Linked DNA regions of Arabidopsis thaliana. The protein of the gene in region 1 interacts with the protein of each later gene in a pairwise test. Each region holds a gene or a part of one and is shown in the gene's direction. Other genes may lie near its edges. The genes, in order: CSD1 and HIPP20.

Evidence for each region.
Region 2: the proteins of CSD1 (region 1) and HIPP20 interact in a two-hybrid assay, tested with the Arabidopsis thaliana proteins (one large-scale study listed by BioGRID).

What each region holds. Positions count from the first base shown.
Region 1 is NC_003070.9:2,822,434-2,830,830, forward strand, and holds CSD1 (copper/zinc superoxide dismutase 1), read left to right. Parts: upstream 1-4,626; 5' UTR 4,627-4,758; intron 4,759-5,246; 5' UTR 5,247-5,266; coding exon 5,267-5,342; intron 5,343-5,438; coding exon 5,439-5,540; intron 5,541-5,672; coding exon 5,673-5,768; intron 5,769-5,946; coding exon 5,947-5,978; intron 5,979-6,072; coding exon 6,073-6,148; intron 6,149-6,319; coding exon 6,320-6,373; intron 6,374-6,597; coding exon 6,598-6,620; 3' UTR 6,621-6,882; downstream 6,883-8,397. Other genes in the region: VAP27-2 (vamp/synaptobrevin-associated protein 27-2), read right to left, coding at 1-208, 400-579, 672-787, 1,183-1,264, 1,394-1,464, 1,931-1,979; emb2411 (DNA replication helicase), read right to left, coding at 7,146-7,271, 7,358-7,477, 7,571-7,708, 7,772-7,845, 7,940-7,979, 8,336-8,397. UniProt on the Arabidopsis thaliana protein: Destroys radicals which are normally produced within the cells and which are toxic to biological systems.
Region 2 is NC_003070.9:26,801,160-26,809,556, reverse strand, and holds HIPP20 (Heavy metal transport/detoxification superfamily protein), read left to right. Parts: upstream 1-5,264; 5' UTR 5,265-5,610; coding exon 5,611-5,770; intron 5,771-5,936; coding exon 5,937-6,235; 3' UTR 6,236-6,460; downstream 6,461-8,397. Other genes in the region: AT1G71070 (Core-2/I-branching beta-1,6-N-acetylglucosaminyltransferase family protein), read left to right, coding at 405-885, 1,238-1,313, 1,397-1,512, 1,603-2,117; AT1G71060 (Tetratricopeptide repeat (TPR)-like superfamily protein), read left to right, coding at 2,374-3,906. UniProt on the Arabidopsis thaliana protein: Heavy-metal-binding protein. Binds cadmium. May be involved in cadmium transport and play a role in cadmium detoxification.

The sequences.
Region 1 (8,397 bases):
TATGAGACCTAATTGGATCGAATCCAGTTTCTTTTGCCATCCTCGATGAATCGTAGCTATCTTTAGTTGCCTTCAAGTCATTAGCAGTATATCGATCTTCCACAAAATCCACTGTGGCCATTTTTGGTGTCTTTAACTCCTTTGCATTGTCGGCTGCCTTTAACTCATCATGTCCAACCATCCTAGGCTCTTTTACAATCTCACCCTCCTAGAAAAATAAATTTTGAGAATAAACAAATAACTACAAGAAAATCCCTATTGCACCCAATAACTGTGATTATAAGCTAAGCTAAAATGAACTTGCTGGAACATAACTACACTCACTGCTTGGCAAATTACTCTTCATCTTACTAACAAATCATAAAAGTTGTTGCGAAAAGGGGTAAATACTCTTCTTACATATTGTGGCGGAGCTAGGGTCTCTGACTGGCTATATAAACGATCCTTGAGGATGGAATCTTCAAATACTGCTCCCTGCTTCGGTGTATTGATTGGAGATAGTTCAGGTGAGTCAGAGGGCGGTACGAGCGTGACCCTGAGTTTGTTCTCCTCTATGTGTTTGCCTTCGGCTTTCGAAAACTGCCAAGAATAAATGAGTGTACATATATACTTGACAGACCAAATAACTGAAATTAATGATAAAGAAGGTCAACAAGTGTTGGAATGCTTACCATGCTAGCTGTGATGTCTTCATCAGTTGTTTCCGCAGATACAGCAGTACTCTGGATTAAGAATTTGTCTTTGCAAACCATATCTGGAGGTGGTTCTTTAAAAGCTTGCATAATGACTGCATAAATAACATATACAACTCAATAACCCAAAGCATTGACTGAATTTGAATTTCAAGAACCCATTCATCATCAACCAGTTTAAAATTTTGAATGCTCAAACAAACCCAAAAATGCAGGTTCCACGTAATGAGTAATAACTTGAACTTTAATAATTCCATCCGGAGCAGATACCTTCTCTCTTGAACAACTACACTAAACTCTAAAAGCCTAGGATCTTAAAACAATGTCCAAACGCTGTTTAAGTCCAAGGGACAAAGGACAGATCTATACATATATTCCAGTTCATTTCCCGCCCCATGTAGACATCATGCAACAGTTTATCACATCGGCCTAAGAACGTCGGTGCAAGAAATTCAAGCATTGCTGGGAAGAATATAAAAAGTAGGCATACCAGTGAATTCACAGGTTGATTTAGGTGCAACAACACCAACATTTGGACGAACACAGTACTTCTTTGGTGATGTGGTTTTAACCTGTCAAAAACCACATCTAGTTTAGGTTTGTATACAGAAAGAATACTTTTTCTCAGAAATTTTATAAGATATTCGAAATCCTGAAGCCAGAAAGAAAGAGAAAAAGTTTGAGAAGAATCTTCTTTAGACCTTAAATGCAACATAATGATGGGTAGTATTGGTTAGCTGTACCACGCAGGAAGTTTGCTTCTTCAGGTCAACTACAAAAGATGAAACCAGTTAGTATTACAAGGATAACAATGCCAAGGCAAAGATATTCCTTTTACAACTTCCATATTTTATTATAGATCCTCAGAATCGATATGAGAGGTAAGAAACCACATCACAGAATGTCAGCACATACAAATCCAGTAGCAGGAAAGAGTTAGAAGATTCCTCCAAACAACAGCCACATTAACATCACATCAATTCATCTTACAGGAGAATAGACCCACAAACAATAGCACCACTATGATAGAATTCTAACGAAATAGTGAGAATTCAGAAAACTCGGTATTCATAACTGGAACATGTTGGCCACTTTGCTTAAGGAATAACACACCCTCGCTATGAAATCCACATTTTACAAAAAAATAAGAAACTATTAACGGGACCACAGTGTCTACTCACTGGAACTTAAAAATGATCATTTTACAATTGATAAGAATCAGTCCCCTTATATCTTACCTGCAAACTGCAACGTTCGTGGTTGAATATCCAACAGCGGCATATTCATGTTGCTGTGACAAAATGACTCAAGTATCAAACAGCTACCACTTGCAGCAGGATTCTCTCCACCCCTATTTCAACAAAAAAATAATAAGAGAAAGATCAGCCCAGAACCATTCAAGTATGAAACTGTCGACACTAGAGCGAAAAACAAACTCAGATCTATACTCTATTTGGGACAATCATAAACCCGCTCTCCCATTGGGAACATGACGAAATCTAACCAAACAGTCAACAATCAGAAAAGTTTCTCTGTTACACTCTTTCGAGTCCGGATTCTCGTCTTCCGTCACCATAAACAAACCACCGCACTAACTCGTCGACGACGCGTTCTCAAATCTGACGATACGAACTCGCCCGAAGACTCAAACGTGACTATATTTTACCTTAATGCGCTCGTTTTTTCTCAGCGATCCGACCGACACAATTTTTTGGGCAACGCGCTTTCGACTAGCCGGAAAACCAAATCGTCCTAGTCCCCCAGTGTGATCTAGTTACGCCACCACAGGCCTGATAGTATTAAAACAAAAGGGCGAAATAAAACGACGACGTTTACGAGGAGCGACTCCTCGGGATCCGGTAGCCAATAGTAAACTCAGATCACATAGATCTTCCCGAGCCCTAGCGATTTCGATTTCTAAAGCAGATTCTAAAGACAAAAATCAGGAAACTCGAGGAAGAGGAACCTAGTTTCGAAACAAAAACAAAAACCAGAGAAGAAGATGATCAACGAGAATGATGAAATCGGAAGGAAACCTTACCGTCTCTCCGACGAAGAACTAACGGAACGGAGCTTGAGATTGAGCGACGAAGAAGCAGCGATCGAGAGAAAGAGAGAAGTGCAAAAACTAATCTTAGTGAAGGCCAAGTATGGAAATGTATTAATGTGTTCAAACACATTAAAATTGAATTTTTTTTTAAGAAAAAGTATGGTACTGAGATTCAGAGATGGTGAATATCTGTTGTACCTAACAGCAATTTAGTAAACTATAATTTCTGACGACTATTTTTCGATACTTTTGTAACAATTATCGTAAAAAACAAAAAATTAAGTGAGATTACATTCGACGTTAGATGCCAGAAATAATATATATATGTGATTGTGAATATGTACCTTTTTTTCTTTTTTCAATGAGTGTAATATGAATGCTTTGAGAGGATTACACGCGTGATTCTGATTCGGATCACCAACTTCTTTTGCTTCCCTTTTAATTTCTTTCCTATCTTTTGCTTTTCCCATTCATCTCTCTCGCTTTCCACAAAGGCGAGATTTGAATACGTAATCCTAATTATACTCTCATAGAGATTTGGTAATTTGGCCCAAAATATCTTTCTACTTTGTAATATGTCGATGCATAGAAAACATAATCTTATTCTAACATTCACAAATCTCCTATATTTCCATATTGAATCTCTCAGTCTGGATCGGTTTGTAATCTCTGTCCAGCTACCTCTTACGTTTCAGGTGTTTCTATGATTTATCCATTGGCTTCATTGGCTGCCTATAACTTATATATCATGTTGCAATCTTTGTGTGTGTTGTGTTGGGGAGAGCTTATAGCCGGCCGCTCCTCCATTAGCTTCCAAATGGTTGAATCAGTCTGTATCAGATTTAAACTCAGTGATAGCACCCACGTTATGCATGATTTTTAAGATTTGATAAGCAGACTGTTTTTAACTTCAATTCAAGAGCATCATCCACTTTCGGCTTAATATCCTATATTAATTTCTTTAACAAGCTAAAATGAACATAATGAAAATAACTACACTCACTGATTGGCAATTACTAATATCTCAAAACATTAAGAAGTATTTTTTTTTTTTTTGGGTGAAAAGTCACTGTCTTTTTCTTAAAGCCAAAATTTATACGGAACGACAAAACAAAAAATATGACTAAAAACTTCTTAAGCGCAATCACTGACCATGCAGCCTATTTTAGTTTTTAAGTCTTTTATATACATTGGCTGTTATAGTCGTAAAACAATCAGGTATTTGTTATGGAGATAACAATTTGGGAACGCATAAATAGTGCCTCTGATGGTTGGAAGTGGAACAAAATCACAATATTTTTTTCTAGTGTATAAACAACATACAAATATCATGTCACCTGCAAAGAGAATAATATGCCAAAATTTTGATATAATACGCATAACAGAGTTTATATATCAACGTTCTAGACTTATAGGTGATCATCCATTATCTTTAACCTCTTGTAGCTAGCTAGGTTAATTAGGAGATGCATGCATCTAGATAGGCATATATAGTCTAACATTACAAATCCATCAAAGGTTCCCTTCTTCTTCTCCAAAGAAATTAGCTACATACAAATTTGACAGACTCTCATAAATATATATATATATGTTTATAGATTATATTATTAAAAATACAAATGATATTTTCTGTATTTTGTTAAAATTAGTTCTTAAGATTTTATGAAATTTATAATTGAGCCAACGTCTTAGAAATAATTATACGACATACGTAATTTAAATTCAATGACGATGACTTAAACTTAATGTTTTACAGTATTTATCCAATCAAATTTTACCACATCAGCAGAGAAGAGTCAAACTTAGGAAAAGTCTATCTTGGATTATCCTGACGTGGCTTTTTTCAAGTAAGAAATAAATTAATGCTAATCACGTACGTACCTACCCAGCTTTTGGACCTCGTGGGCTATATAGAAAACAAGTAACCAAAGAGAGACGAAGCAAAAACATTCAGAGAGAAAATTCAGCATTTTTGATAGCTCAAGCACTTGATTCTTTCCAAAGGGGTTTCCTGAGGTATGTTTGCTTTCCTTTTTGGTTTTAATTTGTTTCAAATCTTAGATCGATTCTTCACTTTGGATTCTTAAATCGATTCTTGTCCTCGTCTGTGCTGATTTCGAACTTTTCCGATTCCAACTCCGCCGAATCTACGTATAGATCTTTGAGGAAATGTTTTTTTCGATTTATGATCGGCGGATCTACCGATTCCTTTGCTTGTTTTCTTTGGATGTATCACACTCTTCTGAAGATGCCTTGACCTTTTTATGTGAACTAGTAAGAGTTATTATGGCTTAGATCGTTGAATATCTGGTATATGTGTTCTTATAATGGGATTAGGATCTATGTTTTGGTGCGTATTAAAGCTTAGTTGAGATTGATGTTTTTGGGTTTTCAAATTCTGTTTCTTGTCTGTTGAGCTAATTTAATGTTGTGTAGAACCATTTGTTTTTTTCTGGATCTTTACTTATTTGTATATGTATTGGTTTATGTTTATGTTTTTACAGATCACAAAGGCCAAGTAACAATGGCGAAAGGAGTTGCAGTTTTGAACAGCAGTGAGGGTGTTACGGGGACTATCTTTTTCACCCAGGAAGGCGATGGTAGTTCTTTATAAGAGTGCTTTATAAGATCTTTGAAGCCTATCTTTTTTTTCCTTCCTCTCAAATGATTGAGTTCTTTGTTTGGGTTTTTTGCAGGTGTGACCACTGTGAGTGGAACAGTTTCTGGCCTTAAGCCTGGTCTTCATGGTTTCCATGTCCATGCTCTTGGTGACACCACTAACGGTTGCATGTCTACTGGTAACTCTTATGCATACCTCTCTGCAAATTTTCAATGGATTAGAAACTTTTGGAGCTTATATTTATGTTTCGTATTGGGAACTTTAATTATCGCCAAAAGTAACTGAACTTGTTATTAAATTCCTATTTTAGGTCCACATTTCAACCCCGATGGTAAAACACACGGTGCCCCTGAGGATGCTAATCGACATGCTGGTGATCTAGGAAACATCACTGTTGGAGATGATGGTATGCCTTCTCAACATTTGTATCCCTCATCTCAAGCTTATTTAGAGCTGTTTTGCATCAAATTTCGCTACTCTCTCAAATTTGATTTTGCAGTCTTAGTTGTATAGTACAGTTGTCACCTTTGACCAGCGGTAGTGTTCATGGATTTACATAAAAGCTTTTGTTTTGCTTTTCTCAGGAACTGCCACCTTCACAATCACTGATTGCCAGGTTTATAGCTGTGTACCTTTTTATGCTTTTTTCCTAATCCAAACCTGCTGTAGTGAACCAATCTCTTAAGATACATTTTGTGTTGGCTTAACAGATTCCTCTTACTGGACCAAACTCTATTGTTGGTAGGGCTGTTGTTGTCCATGCAGACCCTGATGACCTCGGAAAGGGTAATGACCTTTGACCATTTATTTTCTTGAGATTTTATTTACCCATATTATGCTAACAGAATTTAAAAGTTAGCCAGTCCGTTTGAGGGCATCCAATGTAGAATGCTTATGATTCAACATCCATCCTAAGAACAGTTTATAACCTAGTGTCATTGGTGTTTTACATTTCAGGAGGCCATGAACTCAGCCTGGCTACTGGAAACGCAGGCGGCCGTGTTGCTTGCGGTAAGTAAAACAAAATTACATTTTTCTCACATCTCCTGTGAAAACCATGTATATTCTATTTAATCTTGATCATTACCATCATTGTCACCTTAGACTCCATTGATTCTCTGGTAACTCGGGGTTCATCTTGGTTTATCTATTGACTATTATTATCTTGCATTTTGGGGGTCCAACTGAATGGTAAAATTATCAAACTGATTGACCTTTTGTCTATGACTTCGCAGGCATCATTGGTCTCCAGGGCTAAAGCTGCTACGTTTCCAAAGAAGAGATTGATGTAATAAGGAGGTCCAACCTTAGACCTGGGTTTGGTAGTTGTGTGTATCTTCTGGTGTGTGGCTAAAAACCTATGAGCTTAGTGTGGCTCAAAGCATTTTTAATTCAGACAGAAAACAGAGAAAATTCCGTACTTTTATTATTTCATGAATAAAAAAGAGTTGATTTACTGTTATAAGTTCTTAAAGGTAACAAGAGTCCTGGATATGGTACTTCAATATGCGAATGTTTTTACAAACACAAACTTCTTTGTTCGTTCAAAATCTACTGTCATAACGTTAACTGAGCTAACCTTCAAATGAAACTTCTCCATCATTACAATATCTCCGCTTTTCTGTTACATGTCATTATGCAAGTGATTCATGCTCTCCTGATTTCTTTCTTATCAACAAATTCAGACTCGGAAAGTAAATCGATTATACATTATCATTCCTTTTGGACAAAAATGGAGATACAAGTTAAAATTGTGATATTTGAAACGTTTCTTGATGAGTTGTTATGGTTTTAAATCTCCCGGCAACAGATTCAAGATACCTGACTGCTCCTTAACCTTGTTTAGAAGAAGCATCAGAAGTGGAACTCTTGAGAGTGTTCTTTGTGATCCCACCATTATCAGCTTTTTCTGTCAAACCCAAACAAATTTCAATCAATGATCGATGGAATAAACAACATTACTCAACACCACATCAGTTGTTCTCTCAGTCTCACCTTTGCTCGTGTCAAAGCAACGTTGATCCTATGCCAATCTCCGAGCAGTGAAGAAGCAGAGCTCCTTGGTTTCTCTCGCGATCTCACAAAAGATACCAATATGCAGTCTTTATCTCTTCCCTACAAAATGTGAGCTCATCAAACGTTGGTTATCGAGCACTTGCCAAATCAAGATAGTCATGAAAAGAAGAACGGTAGGTCCTAGAGGCAAACCTGATATTTGTCAATAGTATGTATCTCCACAGGAGTTGTCGGAATGGCATGTTGAATGAGGCTGGCTTGTGAGTTATAAGGAGTAATGATTCCAATATCTTTACTATCCACTCCATTGTTAACTAGCTCCTCTACAATCTAAGTAAAGCAGTTAGCCCACTTTTTCATAAGTTTAAATGCATCTTGCATACTTAACAGTACCTCAGCTATTATGGAAGCTTCAACTGGATTGTTGATCGCATTCTGATCCCTAGCTTCAAAAGCACGCAGCATATCTACAAAAACATATCATATAGTCTCGTGAAAACTCCAGCCCATATGGCAAAGCGCTCATGTGAAAAAAAAAGCAACTAGTAAGTAGCCAAAAACCTGTATTAACAAATACAACTGTTCTTGTTGGCTCCAGAACCTGATGGAAACAAATATAAGTTAAGATGCTAATTAGATTATTAGTGGACAACGCCTACACCGAGTCAATGTGCAACATAACAAATATTGTAAAGCAAGCGACTGGAGCCAAGCTGAAATGCTTTGTCCCTTTGTCTAATTAAATAAAGCATTGCATCAATATCTGAAAGTGGTGTTAAGATTTTCATAGGCTGTCCAGGCCAAGGCTAGTTGCATAATCAAATGCCCAGGTATCCAGAGTTTTAAGCAGAAGGAACATATTATATACACAGATCTAGGTTTACACAGATGTGATAAAATGTTCTTAGTTGCTTAAAGATGCCTCTACTTATAAATGTTTAAGAACAACACACTGACCTTTTTAAGCCATGGCGAAGTAGAACTGGAGGTAGAAAGCACAAGTGTGGCATCAGCTACTT
Region 2 (8,397 bases), about 24 Mb from region 1:
ACTGTTAACAATGGAGTTATTAAAAGTTTGCCAAAGTTTTTTCTTTTTTTCTACAACCGACCGAGTCGGAGATCGAAGTTTTGAACCTAAGAATCTCGTTGTCTTCTTCTTCTGCAGAGCCTCCAAAGTCTAAATCTTTTGGTTACGTCTCTCAAACCCCAACCTTTATACTCACTCTCTTTCTTTTTCTCTCTTACCTCCATTGGCTTCTTCTTGAGATCTCGTCAGGCTCTGATCCCAATCTATGTTCGATCTCACTCTCACCGAGATCTCATCTTCCTCCATTTTTTCAAAGATCCATATATGAGCTCTAAAACCACAGATTTCAATCTGTGAATCCGTATATATGCTCAATCGGAGCCAGATTCTAACAAATCAAAGAAAGGAAGAAGAAGTGAAGAACAATGGGAGCTGAAAAGAAATGGCTTTTCACACTCTTCTCTGTAGTATTCCTCTCAGTGTTCCTTCTCTTACTTTATTCTATCTCTGCTTTCACCTCTAAACCATTCCCTTCTTCAATTCGTCACGGTGCTCATTACCCACCTGCTTTTGCTTATTACATAACCGGTGGTCGTGGAGATAATGACCGGATCTCTCGGTTATTGCTTGCGGTTTATCATCCTAGGAATCGGTATCTTATCCATCTGGGTGCTGAAGCTACTGATGCAGAGAGGCTAGCTCTTCTCTCTGATTTGAAATCTGTTCCTGCTGTGAATGCTTTTGGGAATGTTGATGTTTTAGGGAAAGTTGATCGTTTGTCTGAGAATGGTGCTTCTAAGATTGCTTCTACTCTTCACGCTGTTTCTATTCTTCTTAAGCTTGATCCTACTTGGAATTGGTTTATTGAGCTTAGTGCTTTGGATTATCCTCTCATAACTCAAGATGGTATGTTTTAATTTTGATTTCTTTCTATTTTAATCTTAAACTAGAGAAGAAACTAGCTTTTTAGTTTGCTTGTGATTTTGATTCATTTTCACTCTAGATCTTTGTTTTTGACCTGTCTTTGAGCTTTTTAATGTTCTAGTTTCTGCTCTTAGCTTCTTGAGATTGCAGTGTTTATGATATACTCTAGAATATATATACTCTTTTTCTGGAAATAAAGTGGAAATGTAATCACTTTCACTGATCTCTTTATGGCAAATAATCTGATTTAGAACTTTATTACTCCACTGGTTGTTTGTTTGTCTTCTTATGACCTGGATTCTAATGAATTTTCTTTGCTCATGATTTCTCTCAGACCTATCTCATGTGTTTGCCTCGGTGAACAGAAGTCTCAATTTTATTGATCACACTAGTGACCTTGCTTGGAAAGAGTAAGTAAACAACTTTTGCCAGTCTCTTGAACTGTTTCTTGTACATTTGGTGGGGATTATGATGATAATGGATCTTTATGTAGATCTCAGAGAATCAAGCCTATTGTTGTTGATCCAGCACTTTACTTAGCTAGAAGAACTCAGCTCTTCACTGCTACCGAAAAGCGACCAACACCAGATGCATTCAAAGTCTTTACAGGCAAAAGATTCAGAAGCTAATAATACTTTCTCTGGCTACATTCATTATATGTATACAATCTCATGTTGCTGGTTTGTGATATCACTGCAGGCTCGCCTTGGATTGTACTAAGCAGACCTTTCCTAGAATACTGCATCTTCGGTTGGGATAATTTACCAAGAATCCTTCTCATGTATTTTAACAATGTCATTCTCTCTGAAGAATGCTACTTCCACACGGTGATATGCAACGCACCGGAGTTCAGTAACACGACAGTCAACGGGGACTTACGATACATGATATGGGACAGTCCACCAAAAATGGAACCACATTTCCTTACTATATCGGATTTCGACCAAATGGCTCAAAGCGGAGCAGCTTTCGCTAGACAATTCAAGAAAGATGATCCAGTACTCGACATGGTCGATAGAGAGATCCTGAAACGTGGACGTTACAGAGTCACTCCTGGCGCTTGGTGCTCGAGCCACAGTAGCTGGTGGACAGATCCTTGCTCGGAGTGGGATGAAGTAAACATTGTCAAAGCTGGACCTCAAGCTAAGAAGCTAGACGAAACAATAACGAATTTTCTTGATGATTTGAATTCACAATCGAATCAATGCAAGTGATTATACGACACACGAGACTACATTGTTTTCAGTCTCTGTAAGGTTAAATTCTTTGGGCAACAACACAGTGGCTGCTGTATTTATACGAGGAGAAGGAGAAAGAGAAGAGAAAGGAGATATTTTTATTCTCTTTCCCAGATTTTGTAATTCCTTTGTTAAAGCCATTAGAGAACTTTTGTTCGCAAATTTGATAAACCTTTGTTCCTCTGTTGTATCTTAGTTAATTGAAAGTTAAAGATCTAAACTTTCTCCTCCAATGGTCTTCTCTCGATTCTTCAGAGTCACCGGAGTGAATCTCTCTCGACGTGTGTACTCTCGAATCTCTTCGTCTTCGTCACCGAGTCTCGAATCGATTCCATGGATTCATAAAGCTTCAAACTTTACACTTTACGGATCATTTCACGCTTCTTCTGTTGAAACCCAAGTTTCTGCTAATGATGCTTCACAAGACGCAGAGAGAATCTGCAAGATTCTCACCAAATTCACGGATTCAAAGGTTGAAACTTTGCTGAACGAAGCTTCTGTTAAACTTTCACCAGCCTTAATCGAAGAAGTACTGAAGAAGCTAAGCAACGCTGGTGTTTTAGCTTTGTCTGTATTCAAATGGGCAGAGAATCAAAAGGGTTTCAAGCACACTACTTCAAACTACAACGCATTGATCGAATCATTAGGTAAGATCAAACAATTCAAACTCATTTGGAGTTTAGTAGACGACATGAAAGCAAAAAAGCTTTTGAGCAAAGAGACATTTGCTCTTATCTCTAGACGTTACGCTAGAGCTAGGAAAGTTAAAGAAGCTATAGGTGCGTTTCATAAGATGGAAGAGTTTGGGTTTAAGATGGAATCAAGTGATTTTAATCGTATGCTTGATACTTTGAGCAAATCTAGAAATGTTGGGGATGCACAGAAGGTGTTCGATAAAATGAAAAAGAAAAGGTTTGAGCCTGATATTAAGTCTTATACTATTCTACTTGAAGGTTGGGGTCAGGAGTTGAATCTTTTGAGAGTTGATGAGGTTAACAGAGAGATGAAAGACGAAGGTTTTGAACCGGATGTTGTCGCTTACGGTATTATTATCAATGCGCATTGCAAGGCGAAGAAGTATGAAGAAGCTATTAGATTCTTCAATGAGATGGAACAGAGGAATTGTAAGCCAAGTCCTCACATTTTCTGTAGTTTGATTAATGGACTTGGCTCTGAGAAGAAGTTGAATGATGCTCTTGAGTTCTTTGAGAGATCAAAGAGTTCCGGGTTTCCTCTTGAAGCACCTACTTACAATGCGCTAGTAGGTGCTTATTGCTGGTCACAGCGAATGGAAGACGCATACAAAACCGTTGATGAGATGAGATTAAAAGGGGTTGGGCCAAATGCTAGAACTTATGATATAATTCTTCATCATTTGATTAGAATGCAGCGCTCGAAAGAAGCGTATGAAGTTTATCAGACGATGAGTTGTGAACCGACGGTGAGTACTTACGAGATCATGGTGAGGATGTTTTGTAACAAAGAGAGATTGGATATGGCGATCAAGATTTGGGACGAGATGAAAGGGAAAGGTGTTCTTCCAGGAATGCACATGTTCTCAAGTTTGATCACAGCTCTGTGCCATGAGAACAAATTAGACGAGGCTTGTGAGTATTTCAATGAGATGTTGGATGTGGGTATTAGGCCACCGGGACATATGTTTAGCCGTCTTAAACAAACACTTCTCGATGAAGGCCGGAAAGATAAAGTCACGGATTTGGTTGTAAAGATGGATAGGCTGAGGAAAACCCAACTTGTTGGCTGAAGTGGGTTTCATGGCTCTGTTTTCTCTTCTTGTTTATCTCTATTACTACATTTTGTTTGATATTTTTGGACTATTGAATAGTTATGATCTATGATCTATCCAAAATTTCAGAGCTCTGAGCATTTAGAGACAGTTTTCTATCCGAGCAAAAGTGTATGATGTAGTCACCATATAGAAAACACTGTTATTTCGTTATGAGAAATGGACAAGTCAATGTTATTAAACAAACAAGAATGGGTCAAAGTAATTGAATGGGCTATGATGATTTTTTCTTTTCACAAATAGTAGATAGTTAAAAACAGTTGTTGTGTTCTTTTTTGTAAATGAAGGATGTGGACATGCATAATCCATTGATCAAAGCTTATGTTTCCTTGATTTAGTAACCTTTAATTTTGAAAGTGAGGCTATGCTAAATGCTATGGCATGCTATATAATAGCTGTCGATTTGGTAATCTCGAGATTTTATGTTGTCACTGGCTATTTCAATGAAACCCTCTTATGGAATTAACTTCATATCGGTAACACCCCTCTTTAGTATATTGCTGAATTTTTTTCAAGAATTACTCGTGGGGTACTTTAACTCAAAATTGAAATTCGATCAATTGTGTTGAGTAGCTTAGAAGAGAAAAATAGAAAAAATATAATTTTGTAAAAGGAAAAAAAAAAAGAGGTCTAAGAAGAATATGATAATTGGGGTGTAAGAGAAGAAAATGCCAACGAAGTTTATAGGGTGGAAAGTATAAAGCAAAAAACAAAAATGTCTAAATGTACATAATAAAAAGATGTGGAGGGGCTTTATAACAATTCTTATTTCAAACTATAGACTACCTAAATAGTTTGATTGAGTTGTCTACTTCGTATAAGATCGGACCCCCACACCTTATTTTTTCTCATCGAATCATTGCCCTTTAAATTGCTACATTCCTTTCTATTTTTCTCTTATAACTATTCCCTTTTACTGTTTCTGACCTAAATTGAAATAATTGAATGTGTGATTGTGTAGTTTATCTATAAACCCTATTATCATTCATCCGATCGTGTACCTATCCAAAGTAACAAAAGTGTTAAATTAATTAGAAGGGTCATGTCGTTTTCAATACACGATTACAATTTTTTCATAAACTTATATATACATACCGACATCATATATATGTATACGACGAAAATGATCATAAACAAAATTGTAAAAGAAAAAGATTAGATGGTAAAAGAAGAATCTACACAACCATAATTGCCATTCTCAATGAATTAACTTTGACGCATGTGAATTTTGAGGTGACTCAGGTGATGTGGATGATAAACCTCTAATCCCGTGACATTGTTTTATTATAAACGACCGATCGGACATTGTTAGAAAAAAAGAAATTATAACTACAAACTCTTCTGTTTATTATTATTATTATAGTTAGCTTTTTAATATAAAACGGATATTAGAATTTTGTAACAAAGAAATCGGCGGGAGTCGTGTGCTTTAGCCCAAAAACATTGGCCTCGTTGTCCAACGTGTGTATTTGGAGGAAAACATCATTAGAGGGCCACATATACATCTCTCTAATTACACTTTACGAATATTAAACACATTTAATTGTACTTAATCCTCGGCATAACACTTGTCCATTAAGTCACCATGTACTTGCTATAAATATGGTCAAGTCCAGTCCATAATATATGCATCTCTGATCTTTCTTGGTGAGAGTAATAGACATGGGAGCTCTTGATTCTCTTTCCGAGTATATCTCCGACTACTTCCGCGTCACCAGAAAAAGGAGGAAGCGGAAAGTCATGCAGACGGTGAATATAAAGGTGAAAATGGACTGCGATGGTTGTGAACGCAGAGTCAAGAACGCGGTTTCCTCCATGAAAGGTTCGAATCTCCAACTCGTAGACTACTTATGTCATGAATGGTTTCTGTAAGTTTTTTTGTAATTTTGATTTCCATTAAACGAGTACTCATGTAAGCACGCCAAACCATTTCTACATACAACAAGCCAAATTAACACGGTCTTTATATCAATATAAAAATCGCGCAGGTGTGAAATCGGTGGAGGTGAATAGAAAGATACATAAAGTGACGGTGAGTGGATACGTGGAACCAAAGAAGGTATTAAAGAGAATCGAAAGGACAGGGAAAAAAGCGGAGATATGGCCGTACGTTCCTTACAACATGGTCGCATATCCATACGCGGTCGGAACTTACGACAAAAAAGCTCCGGCCGGTTATGTCAGGAAATCTGAGCAGTCGCAGTTGCAGCTGTTGCCGGGAGCTCCCGAGAACCACTACATTTCTCTTTTTAGCGACGAGAATCCCAACGCTTGCACCGTTATGTAATAAATAATTTACTCTAGTAGTATTATCCACAGCATGTAACGTTTTTATCAAGCAATTGGCTCTCTCTCTCTCTCTCTTTTTGTTATGTTAATGCAGAGAGGAAGAACCAACTATAGCTAGTTGTGTAAAAATTTCAATATTTCAAAATAAGTTAGTGGAATGTGTATAATCAATGTGTTTAATATCAAAGTATTTTCGGGTGATTTATGTTTTTATTTACGATTATGCAAATTATTATATTAGTGGAATTAATTGAAGTTATTTAAAAATAAATACGAAAAAAGGAAAATCGGTTAAGTGCTCAGGTTGGTTAAAAATTAATTAAGAGAAAATAAACAAAAAGCTACGTGCTGTTGGAGTTTTGTTGGTTTTGTGAAGGCAAATTAGTCAGCGAAAAAAGTGTTGTGAAGTGGTTTTGTGGTAATCTATGCGGCTGTGCCAAGTGAAATCCATACATCATCAGATAATAAAATATCAACTTTTTATCTCTATATTTTATCTTCCATTACGTAGTTTTTGACACATAGAAGATCCAACAGCGTTTAACTAGATTTTCTTCGGAGCCATTAAATATAGTTTGTTCCTCAATCGAAGTAGATATGCGGCTGATGATGCAGCCATAAAAAAAGAAAGGTATTTGTAGTCATAACTTTCTTAGTAAATGACTTTAGGTTTAGAAAATGACGCGTAACTAATCAAGAAAATTAGTAGTAACCGTAATTAACTTGGAACGTAACCATAGCAAAATATTTCCGACCACTCGCAAGGAGACAAGTCAATTTGTAAGTGAAATTAGAAATTGTGTTTCTTACGAAACGGTTAATTTATTGCACAATTTGGTCTGCTTCTTGTTTTCTTTATAACTATTTTGAGTATGTTTGTTACATGCATGGATGATCAGAAATGTAATATATTATTCTTCGAATAAAACTGTGGCACCGTGCACATATCCAACCTTAATACATTATAGTCTAATCTTAATATATTTTTGTAGTTCAAACCTTGCTGTGAATTTGTATATAATATACTGGGAGATTTTATTCTTGTACAACTCAAAACAAATTAATGCCTCACGTAAAACAAACACCTGTTTAATCCTTAGAATGAGTGATCTTTAAATAAAATCCCAAGAATATTAGAATTTGAAATTTCATAATATTATGGTGCTTATGATGAGATGACATTTAAGTATCTCGCTGGATATTTCAAATCAACTGTTTGGGACGAAACTGATATGACTGATTATTAAATTATGACTTCGCATAACTCGAAAGTTGAAACACAAAAATGGATATGTTAGATTTGAAACTGTGAAAAGGACGCAAACAAATGGAGAGATGAGAAGCGGCACACGAAGGGAAAACGCAAACGCGCGTTTGAACATATCAAGGTGGGACTTAAGGTAAAATCGTCGTTTGATGGCGACAACCGCATTTTTAGCTAGGTGGGAGATGGGCTTTTGGATAACCTCCACGTGTACAGTACCCCAGACATCGACGGCTTCCAGTCATTTTGACTAGGAACACCAAAACATAGACAGGCTCAAAAGTCAATAGTACTAGCAATTATCTGTGAAACCAAAAACGAACCAAACCTGAAATTTGTAGAACTGGATTGATCACAAAATCTGTATATAATAGGAACTTTGTATATATAATGGTTGATTTTGTTTTAAATTTTGTTGATTCAGAGTCAAATTGATTAATTTTGGTTTAATTTGATTTTTTTCCTCACACTCTTCAAAAAGTTAATTTGGTGTATTTTCTTGTTAAATTTAATTTTTAGGTTTCTTGGATTTGTCTGAATTATTTTTTAAAAGCATGAATATATATTGTAGTTGTATAATATATGATGTGTATTCAAATGAAAAGCATAGAGTATATATATATATATATGTATAACCACTATTTGCGTGTTTTTTACGTTAGAACTCATGCTAGATGATAATCTTTGGAGTAGCATCAAGAGAAGTTTAAAAGGAACTATAGTTCCAACTTGTAACAAATAAAGAATATGTTAGGTTTTTGGGCTGTTTTTGATTCTCCCTTTTGAAAAATTATTTGTTGATGCTGGGTTCATTTTGGGCCTGGCTAGGTATATTTTATATTGTCAGTCTTTTATAGACTGATGGGTTACTTTTTCGCTACTTTCAATATTAATGA